3 linked regions of the Lepisosteus oculatus genome follow. The protein of the gene in region 1 interacts with the protein of each later gene in a pairwise test. Links are inferred from orthologs where the notes say so. Each region holds a gene or a part of one and is shown in the gene's direction. Other genes may lie near its edges.

Region 1 (3,751 bases):
AAGGAAAAGGGATAGTCTGCTTAACCTGTTACGTTAGACTACAGGCTAGCTTGTCTTTAACAAAATAAATATTGAAACCCATTTGTGTAGTCTTTTTTGTCTTCCTTACACACCGTGGCCTGCGAGTTGGGAGTTGAATAAAATGCAAGTTAGAAGCTTTCTCACTCTCTTGAATTTAGAACTACGGTTTTGTGGTCATACCTCACCTAAACAGATTAGTCAAGCTACTGCCCGTTTTCAATACTTAAGAACATTTAAACCCGTATTGAAATAACTTAAAATGAAGATCTACCGTGCTAGTTATCACCTTACATCTATTATACATCTCGAAACTGGTCGCAGGAGTATTAATTTACATTATCTGTTGAAAAATGAGTTCGCATCCAAGTTCCACAAAAATGTAAGCACAAAGCTGTGCAATCTTTTTGTCCCAAAGCTTGACCTACACTCCTACCCTATGGAAGATTGTATTATTCCGATTTCCCTGTTTAATGTACGTCAGAAGAAAAAAAACTGCACCTACTACACAGATTCCCAGATAAGTTTTGTTCCAGTTGCAGCAGTTCAAGTTCAGCATGGGGCTCGACGAAGCTGGAGGAGACTACTGGCCCCAGCGCAAGCAACCTCCCTGCCAAATCAATCCCCATTTTCAACAAGCCGATGCCGGTGTAACCTTTCCCAGCGCCGGATTTGCCTTCGGGTGCAGTACGTTTCTTGGCAGGTGCGCTGGAGGGTGATTTTCTTTCCGCGTCACGTTGATTTACATTTAAACGCCTGTGGAGGGTCGCCGCCATTGGCGGGCTGCGGTTCGAAACGAGCGCGCCTGCGCAGACGGTGCGGGCCGAGGCCGTGCGGAAGATCCCGGGACTCTCTGTGTGTGTGTGACCGCACGACTGAAAACAGGTGAGGTGAAGGTGAAGACTTCGGATTTATGTCTGCGAAGGGGTTGTGAGAGATAGCTTCTCCGCCGACAGCGTCGCAATGAAACTTTAAAATGAAGTTGTCCACCTCGAAGAATGACCAGGGTTGCAGGCGCTGTGGAAAAGCCCGGTGATCCTTCGGTGTTGCAACTTTGAAACACAGGTTGGAGTGAATCGGATATTTCTGGATAATCACTTGCAATTTTTTAAAAAAATATATATATTATTTTATCCTCCAAGAAACCGCACAAAGACTTTGTATTCCGAGCAGCGGAACCGGTCATTGTTAGTTTTATATCTATATATGGGCGGAGAAGAAATAACGTTTTGGATTTGCGTACTTTTTTAAAAAAATGCTGAAGTAGAGCGATGAGCAAGCCTAAAACTAGATTAATTTAATAAATCAAGGTGCCCGCTAATTTGTGTTTAACATGTATTAGAAAATAACGAAAAGTCAATTGTTGTATATTTCACAATAGCCTGTTGTCTGTAAAAGTCAGAACAAGCTACAATTACCGTTGACGTTCGAGTTTAATCGCTTTCAACTCAAGAAGTGCGTAATTAAAACTTTAAAAAACTCTTTAATTCTCGTCAGACGTTGCTCCTGAACCTTGTCTTGTCAACTAAATCTCACATTTATTCTCGCTTGTATCAGTCTTACCGACAGCGGGTAATGTCTGGGATATTATTCATCTTGAGACCAAGGGTTTTAATGCCTCTGAATCGAGTATCTTTGTGCGGATTTATCCGAAGTCGTGTGAATTTGTGAAAATGTCGTTTCCTTGTGGATGATCAGATTGTAAGAATCGGCACTGTCGTACTCTTAACAACAGACCTGTTAATGACAACTCTCGGTGGTCTTTCATGATAAATTGATGTCTGAATGATATTGCCAATATGACCTCGGGGCAAAAATAGTTCTTACAATGGCTTGTGAATGATAAAGATTCAATTTACATGACGCGATTAAGTGGCATCTTGATGCTGAACACCGAGTCAAGTCTCGTTAAAGAATCAGGGATGACACTGTCTAGCCAGCCTGCTGCGAAATGTCAATAAACTCCCGTAGGAGAGTCGCTGGGAAGAAATATCAGTAGTGCTTGAACAATTTAAACCTGTTGCACCAGCTTCTTAAGAAATGTTGATCACCATTATCTTTTATTGTCCTCGGAGGATACACGACTTTGTCTCTTAGATCTTTATTTCATGTACATATGCATTCCTATAGAAACAGCTGCACAGTAATTCATTAGGCTCTTTGGTTAACTGGTCGTTCAATTTTCCAGGAACGAAAACGTTTTAAAGAACTGTTATCTAACTCAAAACTCACTTTTTTTTTTTACTGGGTACTGTGTCTCATTGCCCTACATCCTATCCTGTGTGTTTCTCTTTAGTTGTTTTTTTCACTTTTAATTGCACTTAACTTATGGCTTGTACTTGGGTTTTGGAAAATTGATCTATATTAATGTATTTGATCATTATTTATAAATAGAAATATCAACTTACTTATACAAAGAATTGTATTGAATTGCGGTGTTTAAAAAAAATACACCCAGACCGGTTTCAGTGGGTAATCACTTTATATTTTTGGTCTTTGTTTCAGTAGTTTGATGATCAGATATTTGTTTTGTGTCACCAAGACTTGCAGTGTCTTGGCAGGCACAGTACAGATCGCTAAAGACCTTTCTTCAGACATGCAGGCATACTGGGTACGCCTTAACGTAGTGCATTTTTTTTTACAGAATAAAAAAGCATGGAAAGTCTGGAGGAGGATCTCACGTGTTCAGTGTGCTACTCGTTGTTCAGTGACCCTCGTGTTCTGCCGTGCTCCCATACCTTTTGTAAAGGCTGTTTGGAAAATGTTCTCCAGGTTTCTGTCAATTTCTCTATCTGGAGGCCGTTGAGAACCCCCCTTAAGTGCCCCCACTGCAGAAATATGGTGGAACTGCCCCCAACAGGGGTTGAAGCCTTGCCAACCAATGTGTCTCTCAGAGCTATCATAGAGAAGTTTCAAAGGGACGACCAGTCCAAACCTCCCTCCTGCCAGGAGCACCCAAAGCAACCACTGAACGTGTACTGTCTCCAAGATCGTCAGCTGATTTGCGGAGTTTGTCTTACCATTGGGCGGCATCGGGGTCATGCCATTGACGACCTGCAGGCAGCCTTCATGAAAGAGCAGGAGGCTCCAGGGACGCTCGTGGAGCAGCTGACTGATAAGCGGTGGGCCGAGGTTTCCTTGTTAGCAGAAAAGCTGGAGCAGCAGAAAGCTGGATGTGAAAACCTCATCAGACAAGACAAAGAATCCGTGGTGCTGTACTTTGAGAAGATTAAACGGACCCTGGCGCAGAAGGAACGGGAGTTCCTGGCTGCTCTTGATGATGCAGGCGCTAAGCTCTCAAGTGAGTATGACCCACTGCTTGAGACGCTTAAGGACATGAAGGAGGAGCAGCTGGAGCTCATGTCGTACAGTGCAGCAGTGGAGGAGGAAGACTCTCCCCTTCTTTTTCTGGAGAAGGTTCATATCTTCCGAGAAAGAGTTGCAGCTCTGAGTAAAGCACCCCTTCCAGTTGTTAAACCCTTGTACATCTATCCAAGGGCTGGGGAATATCTGAAACACAAGTGGTCTGGGATTACTCTTGGGAACCTTGAAAGAGAGGAAATACCACAAATTAACCACTGTCAGGGCCAAGTTATTTCCAGAAATTTCAACAGACTACAAGCTTTGTATGTCAGTAGGTCTGTGTTGGTGTTGCTTTTGCTCTTGGTTTTATTGGGCAGCGCACTGATTGGCGTTCAGCTCAGCCGGTACTCTGATATGTATCAAATTAATG
Region 2 (3,751 bases), on another chromosome or scaffold:
CCCATCCCGTCATTTACAGAATGGAGTTTGATGGGGCTGGTTCCGTAAAACCAGCTTTTTGTTAGCATCCGTCTTCCAAAAATCAACAGCACGTTTCACTAAGTGCTATTTTTATGAAATGAGGGAAATACGATTATTGTTACAGGACTTTGGGCAGGAGATAACAGGAAATTTGAAATTCGCCGTGCCTGTAACTTCAGAAGAATGACGCTGAGGTCTAAGAGACTTGCCAAATACTTATTACAGCATGTATCGAGGGGTTCCTAGATACTGCACCATCAGCCCGTATACTGTATGTGTAAGCACGCAGTGTTTCTACAGCATCTGTGCGTGAGAGGGAGACACTCAGTGACTTAAACACTGAGTAAAAAACGCAATTTAATGATTATGCATTTACCCATTATGGAGTAGACGTCCCGTCCCGTAGTCTCCCCAACGGGCGGAGTCATTTGTTTTTACAAAAAACACAAGTCCACAAAAATAACAGAAGCATAGGGGTAACGTCATTACCACACTCCCGCAGTTTGGCTTCATTTACATCGTAAGGCTTTTCTGCTGTCACCGTGCTTTTGTTCCAAGCTATTTTATTGTCTTCACTACTGCAGTACTAATATAACTGCTGCACTTCACGATCCACCCACTTTTCTAAAGCTGCAACTTCAACATAATGGGTTGAATCGCCCACAGATAAGAAGCGCATTGTGAAAATCTCTAAGAATACAGCGTGACTATCAGACAAATTAAGAGTTATAATAAACGATTAAAATCTCTTACCTATACCCTTGGTCCTATTTTCTGTTCTCCTATTAGGATGCGCCAGGCTTTTTCTGCATCAGCACCAAGAACAACAGGAACTCCCACCTGCTTAGGGACCGTCTGTAAACTCAATAGCAGAGTCGAAGTAAGGGATCACCCACAAGAGCCCAGTTTTCAAAATGCGACGCCGCAGTTACGAGGCGACTCCTCAAATCATTCGCCGTATTTAGAACAGGAACTCTGTTATTCATTTCTGGAATTTCAGTGAGCTCTAATATCTCAAGTGGGAATTCGAATAACAACTGATATATAGTTATAAACATTTTACATCGTGACCGAGGATTTTAAAAACACCGTTGCAATAGTTGTACGAAAGCAATAGCAATTCCATCATTTAATATATTCTTATTGCAGACATACTGGATACATCACTGGAAACACAGAGGCTGGTCATTAACTCGACTCAACGTGTTCGGCAGGTAAAGGTAAGAGTGACTAATTTTAAAATAAATGGGTTGAGCTGTGATGCTGGGATTCTGGCATAGACTTCACAAATAAAGCCTGACACCTGCTGGCCGAAATGTAATTTCCTGCAGTATCCGACAGAGATGGAGAGGCGGACAAGAGCCGTACCCAAGACTCGTATGGTCATTTATTAAATAATTTGGACAAAATCAATAAATAGAAAAAAAAATAAATCTCTCATATTAAACGATCTTAAAGGGGAAATATTTGAACAAGATCGCATTATTTGAAGGATTGAGATCAAATCTGGTAAAAACGATCATCTTACAGTGAATAAAACGGGGGGGATAATGACGTAGGCTTCACAGCAGGCTTTGATCGGGGTTTCCTGTACCTCGTAGATTCACTTTGAGTTGCCTAGTACTGGAGCCGACCAAGGCGATCAAGACTCCAGTTAAGAGTCCAGCGTCCAGACCAGCAGGCGGTGCTAGACATTTCGCCGACAGCGCCGTTGAGACAGAGAGGAAAAGCTTGGGTCTTCTTGACGCCACGTAATCTCTTTGTGTTGAATGAGCTCGCTGCTCGTCAGTGTCGCCGAGCCCTGGTGCTGAAAGGACAGCTCCGCCGCACAGAAGCCGACTGAAGGTGAAGGTCCTTTCTAAAGTTTCGGGTTAGACTCTATTTTGAAGCGAGATGCTCGTTCGGCATTCCCCTCGTGAGCTTCTGTATGTCAAATGTTGCACATTACGGTGTTTCGTTATTACTGATGTACATATGCGCTGCGGTAACCTTGCACAACACGAAACCGGCGTTAGAAAGAAGATATCTTTTTAAAAACATAGAGAAATAGAGTCCGTGCTCTATTTCTGGCTAACGGCTATGGAAACAATTAAGACTGAGATGGAGTAAACAGCAGTAATGGACAAAACGCATTCGGTTGCTTTCAGTACAATTGTTAATTAAACGTACGGTATGTACAGTATAAGCAGCTAATTGCTTAAATAAGGAGTAACTCTTATTTATATTCTAGAGACAATTTTCCCACTTGATGCGGGGTATCCGTTTATTACAACAAAACATTTTATTGCCGAAAAAGGAATTTAATTTTTAATGAACGCTTGTGCAGTATGTTTATGAGATATGTGATTTCTGGGTCTGCCAATGATCTTGGAGTCACTGTTTTTGCTTTGATAATTAAAACAATCGAAAAATGACCACTCTACGGCTTCACCTGACATATATTTTCTTTCTCTCCAGATATTAATGCGAATATGTTCCTTCTGAATTAAATTGGTTCAAAACATGTCTGCACGCTGGGCTGAGTTTTCTTTACAAGCATCATTGTCGTGACTACTTGAAATCATCCGTTTAGTGTATCAGATACTTCATTTAAACAACACATTTTTACCCTTTAATATACACAATATTTAATTGTAGAAAAGAAATGTTAATTAACACACATTTAAATATATCATGCAGAGTTATAACATATCTACTTCTTACTGGAAACACCTTTCAGGGCTATGTAGTCACTGTAACCCTCTAGTATTTATGGTTAATGCTCGTTTCAGTAATCCGTTACCAGTGCGATAAAATTGTATAATAGCAGCTTTGACTTCATATAAGTGTTACGTACATACGTTTAGATGTACCGATTAATACTGTTAAGTCCTAATTACTGTACACATTCCCTAGATTATCTATCACACTAGATACCTTGTACAGTGCCTGCCTACAAAGCAAAATGCAACTGTTCCACAAATACCATTGATATCACTTTGTCTGAAAAAACAAACAAACAAACAGTGCTGCACCTACGGGGCTTTGCAATAAGCAAACTCTTTACACTCTTAGACATTCGTATATTTCTATCTGAAAGTCTGGACTTTCAGAGAGAGAAGGACAATAATTGGGAGGTCACTGCATGGTCTGTCACACTAGGCACTTCAAGACAAAGCATCTCTGATGCCCACATTCAAAAATCACAATGGGGTCTCAATGTCTGACACAATGCCCGTATATTTCTAAGACGCGTTATTTGAGGAGGTTTTTCAAGTAGGTACACCCGAAGAAGGCTCCACAGTCGAGACGTTGTGTTTCCTTTCTTCGCTTTTCAGCAGGGAATAAACCTGGACTCGTTCCTTATTTTGAGGAGGTTCACCGGTGTATGCCTTAATTACTAGCGCCACGTCTTTATTTTTTCCCCCGGTAGGAATGTATTTCAAGATGCTGAAACTGAAGCTCCTCAATACCATCGCTCCTGCCTACTTCTTCACAGCCACGGTGGTCACGTTCGCCCTGCACTTTTATTTCTTCATACCGACCATTTTTGACAGACCCGGGGCCCGCCCCAGCGCATCCACGCTGCTCCACGCCGCCATCTTCCTCTTCCTAATGCTGAACGCGCTGGGCAACTACGTCATGACCATCCGCTATCCGGCAGAAAGCGCCAACGAGAGCGTGGTGCCCGTGTGTTCGCCCGACTGCCCGGATCGGGTGGATGCCCATTACCTCCTCAACGATCGACACT
Region 3 (3,751 bases), on another chromosome or scaffold:
CTGCTGACGTCACCCTCGAGAGACGCGCGGAGGGTCTGTACAGTACCGGAGCGCGCTGTGGTTCGTAGCCCCTTCCCTGAAACTCCTTCACACACAGACTCCCAGCCTGCTTCTGCGGGACAGCCTCTCCTGAACGGCTTCCGGTCTTCACCCCCTCTGCTTCTGCTGTATTCAGAGCCCACCATAAACTCCTATAATAATAATAATAATAATATAATTATTATGGCCAGCAGCCATATCACCCTGCAACTCACAACTGGCAACCCACTGAAGCTAAGCAGGTGTGAGCCTGGTCAGTACCTGGATGGGAGACCTCCTGGGAAAAAGGTTGCTGCTGGAAGAGGTGTTAGTGGGGCCAGCAGGGGGCGCTCACCCTGTGGTCCATGTGGGTCCTAATGCCCCAGTATAGTGACGGGGACACTATACTGTAAACAGGCGCCGTCCTTCGGATGAGACGTAAAACCGAGGTCCTGACTCTCTGTGGTCATTAAAAATCCCAGGGCGCTTCTCGAAAAGAGTAGGGGTGTAACCCCGGGGTCCTGGCCAAATTTCCAATTGGCCCTTACTAATCATGGCCTCCTAATAATCCCCCTCTATGAATTGGCTTCATTACTCTGCTCTCCTCCCCACTGATAGCTGGTGTGTGGTGAGCGTTCTGGCGCACTATGGCTGCCGTCGCATCATCCAGGTGGATGCTGCACATTGGTGGTGGTGGAGGGGAGTCCCCATTACCTGTAAAGCGCTTTGAGTGGAGTGTCCAGAAAAGCGCTATATAAGTGTAAGACATTATAATAATAATAATAATAATTGCTTACACTTATATAGCGCTTTTCTGGACACTCCACTCAAAGCGCTTTACAGGTCATGGGGATCCCCTGGATGATGAATCATGCTGTTGTCGTTCTGTGAAGCCTCCTTTGAAAGGCGCTGTATAGAATCAAGTGCTTGATGACGTGGGGAGGGGTGCCCACTCGGACAAGGCCGGAAACGCCGCGTCTTGAGCGTTTTAAACCCGGTTTCCGGGTCCTTTCGCCCCCAGAGACAGCCGTCGCGTTCGTCAGAGTTGTGTGTGGACGGGGGAGATTAGCGAGGGAGATTAATCCCGTCGGGAACAAGAGCTGGAAAACGTTTCCCGTGAGTCCCCCCGCAGCCAGAGCAAGTTCAAGTTCATTGGCATGATACTCATATGGCATAACGAAATGCTATTGAGCAAGAAAATAATCCGGCGCCGCCCAACGTGGGGCTCGAACCCACGACCCTGAGATTAAGAGTCTCATGCTCTACCGACTGAGCTAGCCGGGCCGCTCCGGTCCCGAACTCGCTCACGGATCTCGGCAAAGCCTCGCAGGGCCCTCTGGTCCTGACAGCGGCGAGGGCCCGGCTCGTTTAAAATCTTATTTTAAAAGCCCGCTTTATGGATGCAGAGAGACTGTGATTCGGGTTTTTTTTTTCCTGTGTCTCGCCGCTGGGCGGAAACACAGGCGCAAGGGCTCCCCCTGGCGGCCGCCGGGCCTCACTGCAGCGCCGCTCTGGGCGGAAGGGGCTGGGCGAGACACACAGAGAGAGAGAGGAGGTTCCTTTCTTCTTGTGCGTGCGTGAGCGTGTGTGTGTGTCTCCTCTCTCTCTGACGCCCATGGCCGCCGCCGCCGTCACCCTCCCCAGCCTGTGCCTGGCCGCCCTCACCCTCCTCAACTTCGTCTTCGTCTTCGGCACCGGCGCCGAGTTCGTGCGCTTCCTGTCGTTCCGGGCGATTTATCGCAACCTGACGGGCGGCGCCCCGGTGTGTGTAGGTGGGTGGGTGTGTATGAACGTTTATCCTTCACTCCCGAGCTGTCTGCGATGAAGAAAAACTCGGGGGTCAGGGGGCTGCGTGCACCAGCCCGGCTAGCTCAGTCGGTAGAGCATGAGACTCTTAATCTCAGGGTCGTGGGTTCGAGCCCCACGTTGGGCGGCGGTGTTTACCTTTTCTGCTCTCGCTGTGCGCCCGTTTTCATACGAGAAATGCATGAGCTGTGATCGCAGCCTGCGCCAGGTCACTGTATGTGTGTGTGTGTGGGTGGTGCACACTTTCACAAATCGCTGCCTTTTTAAAAAATAAATGAAGTAGGGGGGTGATATATCGCTCAGTTTTCCTGCCGTCTTTACGAAGCGATTCGAAGGTGGTCCGCCATTATTCCGTGTTTTGAGATTTTATTCTGGTCGACCGATTAGTTATTCGTAATTAATTGTCAAATAATATTATATACATATATAAAAAAGACAGCTGCCGCAGGATCTATCCATCTGAAATCAATAAAAGCTCTCCTGGAGCTACTCGGATCTTTTACTTGTTTTCTGCTTAAGAGAGGCAGGCAGATGTTTCCCTGTGGTGTAAATACAGTCGGTGTGAAACCTCGTAATAAAAAAGGCTCTCTTCTCTTCCTGCTCTGCTGTTTATCTTCCGCGCAAACGCTGCACACACTGGTGTTTGTGTTTTGCGCGCAGCTCGGTGATCGTGTCACGACACGCTGCATTCATTTAAAAGAACACGTCGCCGGATATTCACACCAGCCCGGCTAGCTCAGTCGGTAGAGCATGAGACTCTTAATCTCAGGGTCGTGGGTTCGAGCCCCACGTTGGGCGGTCTGCTTTTTAACTGAACGACTTAAAAAACGTTTTGCACCATTTAAAGTCACTTGCATGAAGGATGTATCAAATAATTGGAGTTAATGTACTGGAGTGTCCAGTCAGTGTGTGTGTATGAACCCCTCTCTCTCTCAGTGCAGTGTTCATGTACTGGAGTGTCCAGTCAGTGTGTCTGTATGAACCCCTCTCTCTCTCAGTGCAGTGTTCATGTACTGGAGTGTCCAGTCAGTGTGTGTGTATGAACCCCTCTCTCTCTCTCAGTGCAGTGTTCATGTACTGGAGTGTCCAGTCAGTGTGTGTGTATGAACCCCTCTCTCTCTCAGTGCAGTGTTCATGTCCTGGAGTGTCCAGTCAGTGTGTCAGTGTGAACCCCTCTCTCTCTCAGTGCAGTGTTCATGTCCTGGAGTGTCCAGTCAGTGTGTGTGTATGAACCCCTCTCTCTCTCAGTGCAGTCTTCATGTACTGGAGTGTCCAGTCAGTGTGTGTGTATGAACCCCTCTCTCTCTCAGTGCAGTGTTCATGTACTGGAGTGTCCAGTCAGTGTGTGTGTCTGAACCCCTCTCTCTCTCAGTGCAGTGTTCATGTACTGGAGTGTCCAGTCAGTGTGTGTGTCTGAACCCCTCTCTCTCTCAGTGCAGTGTTCATGTCCTGGAGTGTCCAGTCAGTGTGTGTGTATGAACCCCTCTCTCTCTCAGTGCAGTCTTCATGTACTGGAGTGTCCAGTCAGTGTGTGTGTATGAACCCCTCTCTCTCTCAGTGCAGTGTTCATGTACTGGAGTGTCCAGTCAGTGTGTGTGTCTGAACCCCTCTCTCTCTCAGTGCAGTGTTCATGTACTGGAGTGTCCAGTCAGTGTGTGTGTCTGAACCCCTCTCTCTCTCAGTGCAGTGTTCATGTACTGGAGTGTCCAGTCAGTGTGTGTGTGTGAACCCCTCTCTCTCTCAGTGCAGTGTTCATGTCCTGGAGTGTCCAGTCAGTGTGTGTGTATGAACCCCTCTCTCTCTCTCTCTCAGACTCAGTGTCCTGGGGACAGGCCCTGCGTGACCAGGCTGTGGTCAGGGCTCTGTGTGTGGACGGGGGGCTGGTCCTGCTCTTCGCCCTGCAGCACAGCGCCCTCGCCTGGGCTCC

What was found.
Region 2: the proteins of trim59 (region 1) and zdhhc22 interact in binary tests that used the Homo sapiens proteins (3 or more experiments, as listed by UniProt). The link is inferred for Lepisosteus oculatus from reciprocal best matches to the Homo sapiens genes TRIM59 and ZDHHC22.
Region 3: the proteins of trim59 (region 1) and nrm interact in binary tests that used the Homo sapiens proteins (3 or more experiments, as listed by UniProt). The two-hybrid records come from large-scale screens. The link is inferred for Lepisosteus oculatus from reciprocal best matches to the Homo sapiens genes TRIM59 and NRM.

The regions. Positions count from the first base shown.
Region 1 is NC_090708.1:6,005,401-6,009,151, forward strand, and holds the start of trim59 (tripartite motif-containing protein 59), read left to right. Parts: upstream 1-826; 5' UTR 827-903; exon of another isoform or gene 904-1,083; intron 1,084-2,662; 5' UTR 2,663-2,673; coding exon 2,674-3,751. UniProt on the Homo sapiens protein: E3 ubiquitin ligase involved in different processes such as development and immune response. Serves as a negative regulator for innate immune signaling pathways by suppressing RLR-induced activation of IRF3/7 and NF-kappa-B via interaction with adapter ECSIT.
Region 2 is NC_090703.1:9,774,841-9,778,591, forward strand, and holds the start of zdhhc22 (palmitoyltransferase ZDHHC22), read left to right. Parts: upstream 1-1,003; 5' UTR 1,004-1,241; intron 1,242-1,663; exon of another isoform or gene 1,664-1,866; intron 1,867-3,433; 5' UTR 3,434-3,435; coding exon 3,436-3,751. UniProt on the Homo sapiens protein: Palmitoyltransferase that could catalyze the addition of palmitate onto various protein substrates and be involved in a variety of cellular processes. Catalyzes the palmitoylation of KCNMA1, regulating localization of KCNMA1 to the plasma membrane.
Region 3 is NC_090709.1:40,369,856-40,373,606, reverse strand, and holds the start of nrm (nurim), read left to right. Parts: upstream 1-1,566; 5' UTR 1,567-1,633; coding exon 1,634-1,790; intron 1,791-3,636; coding exon 3,637-3,751.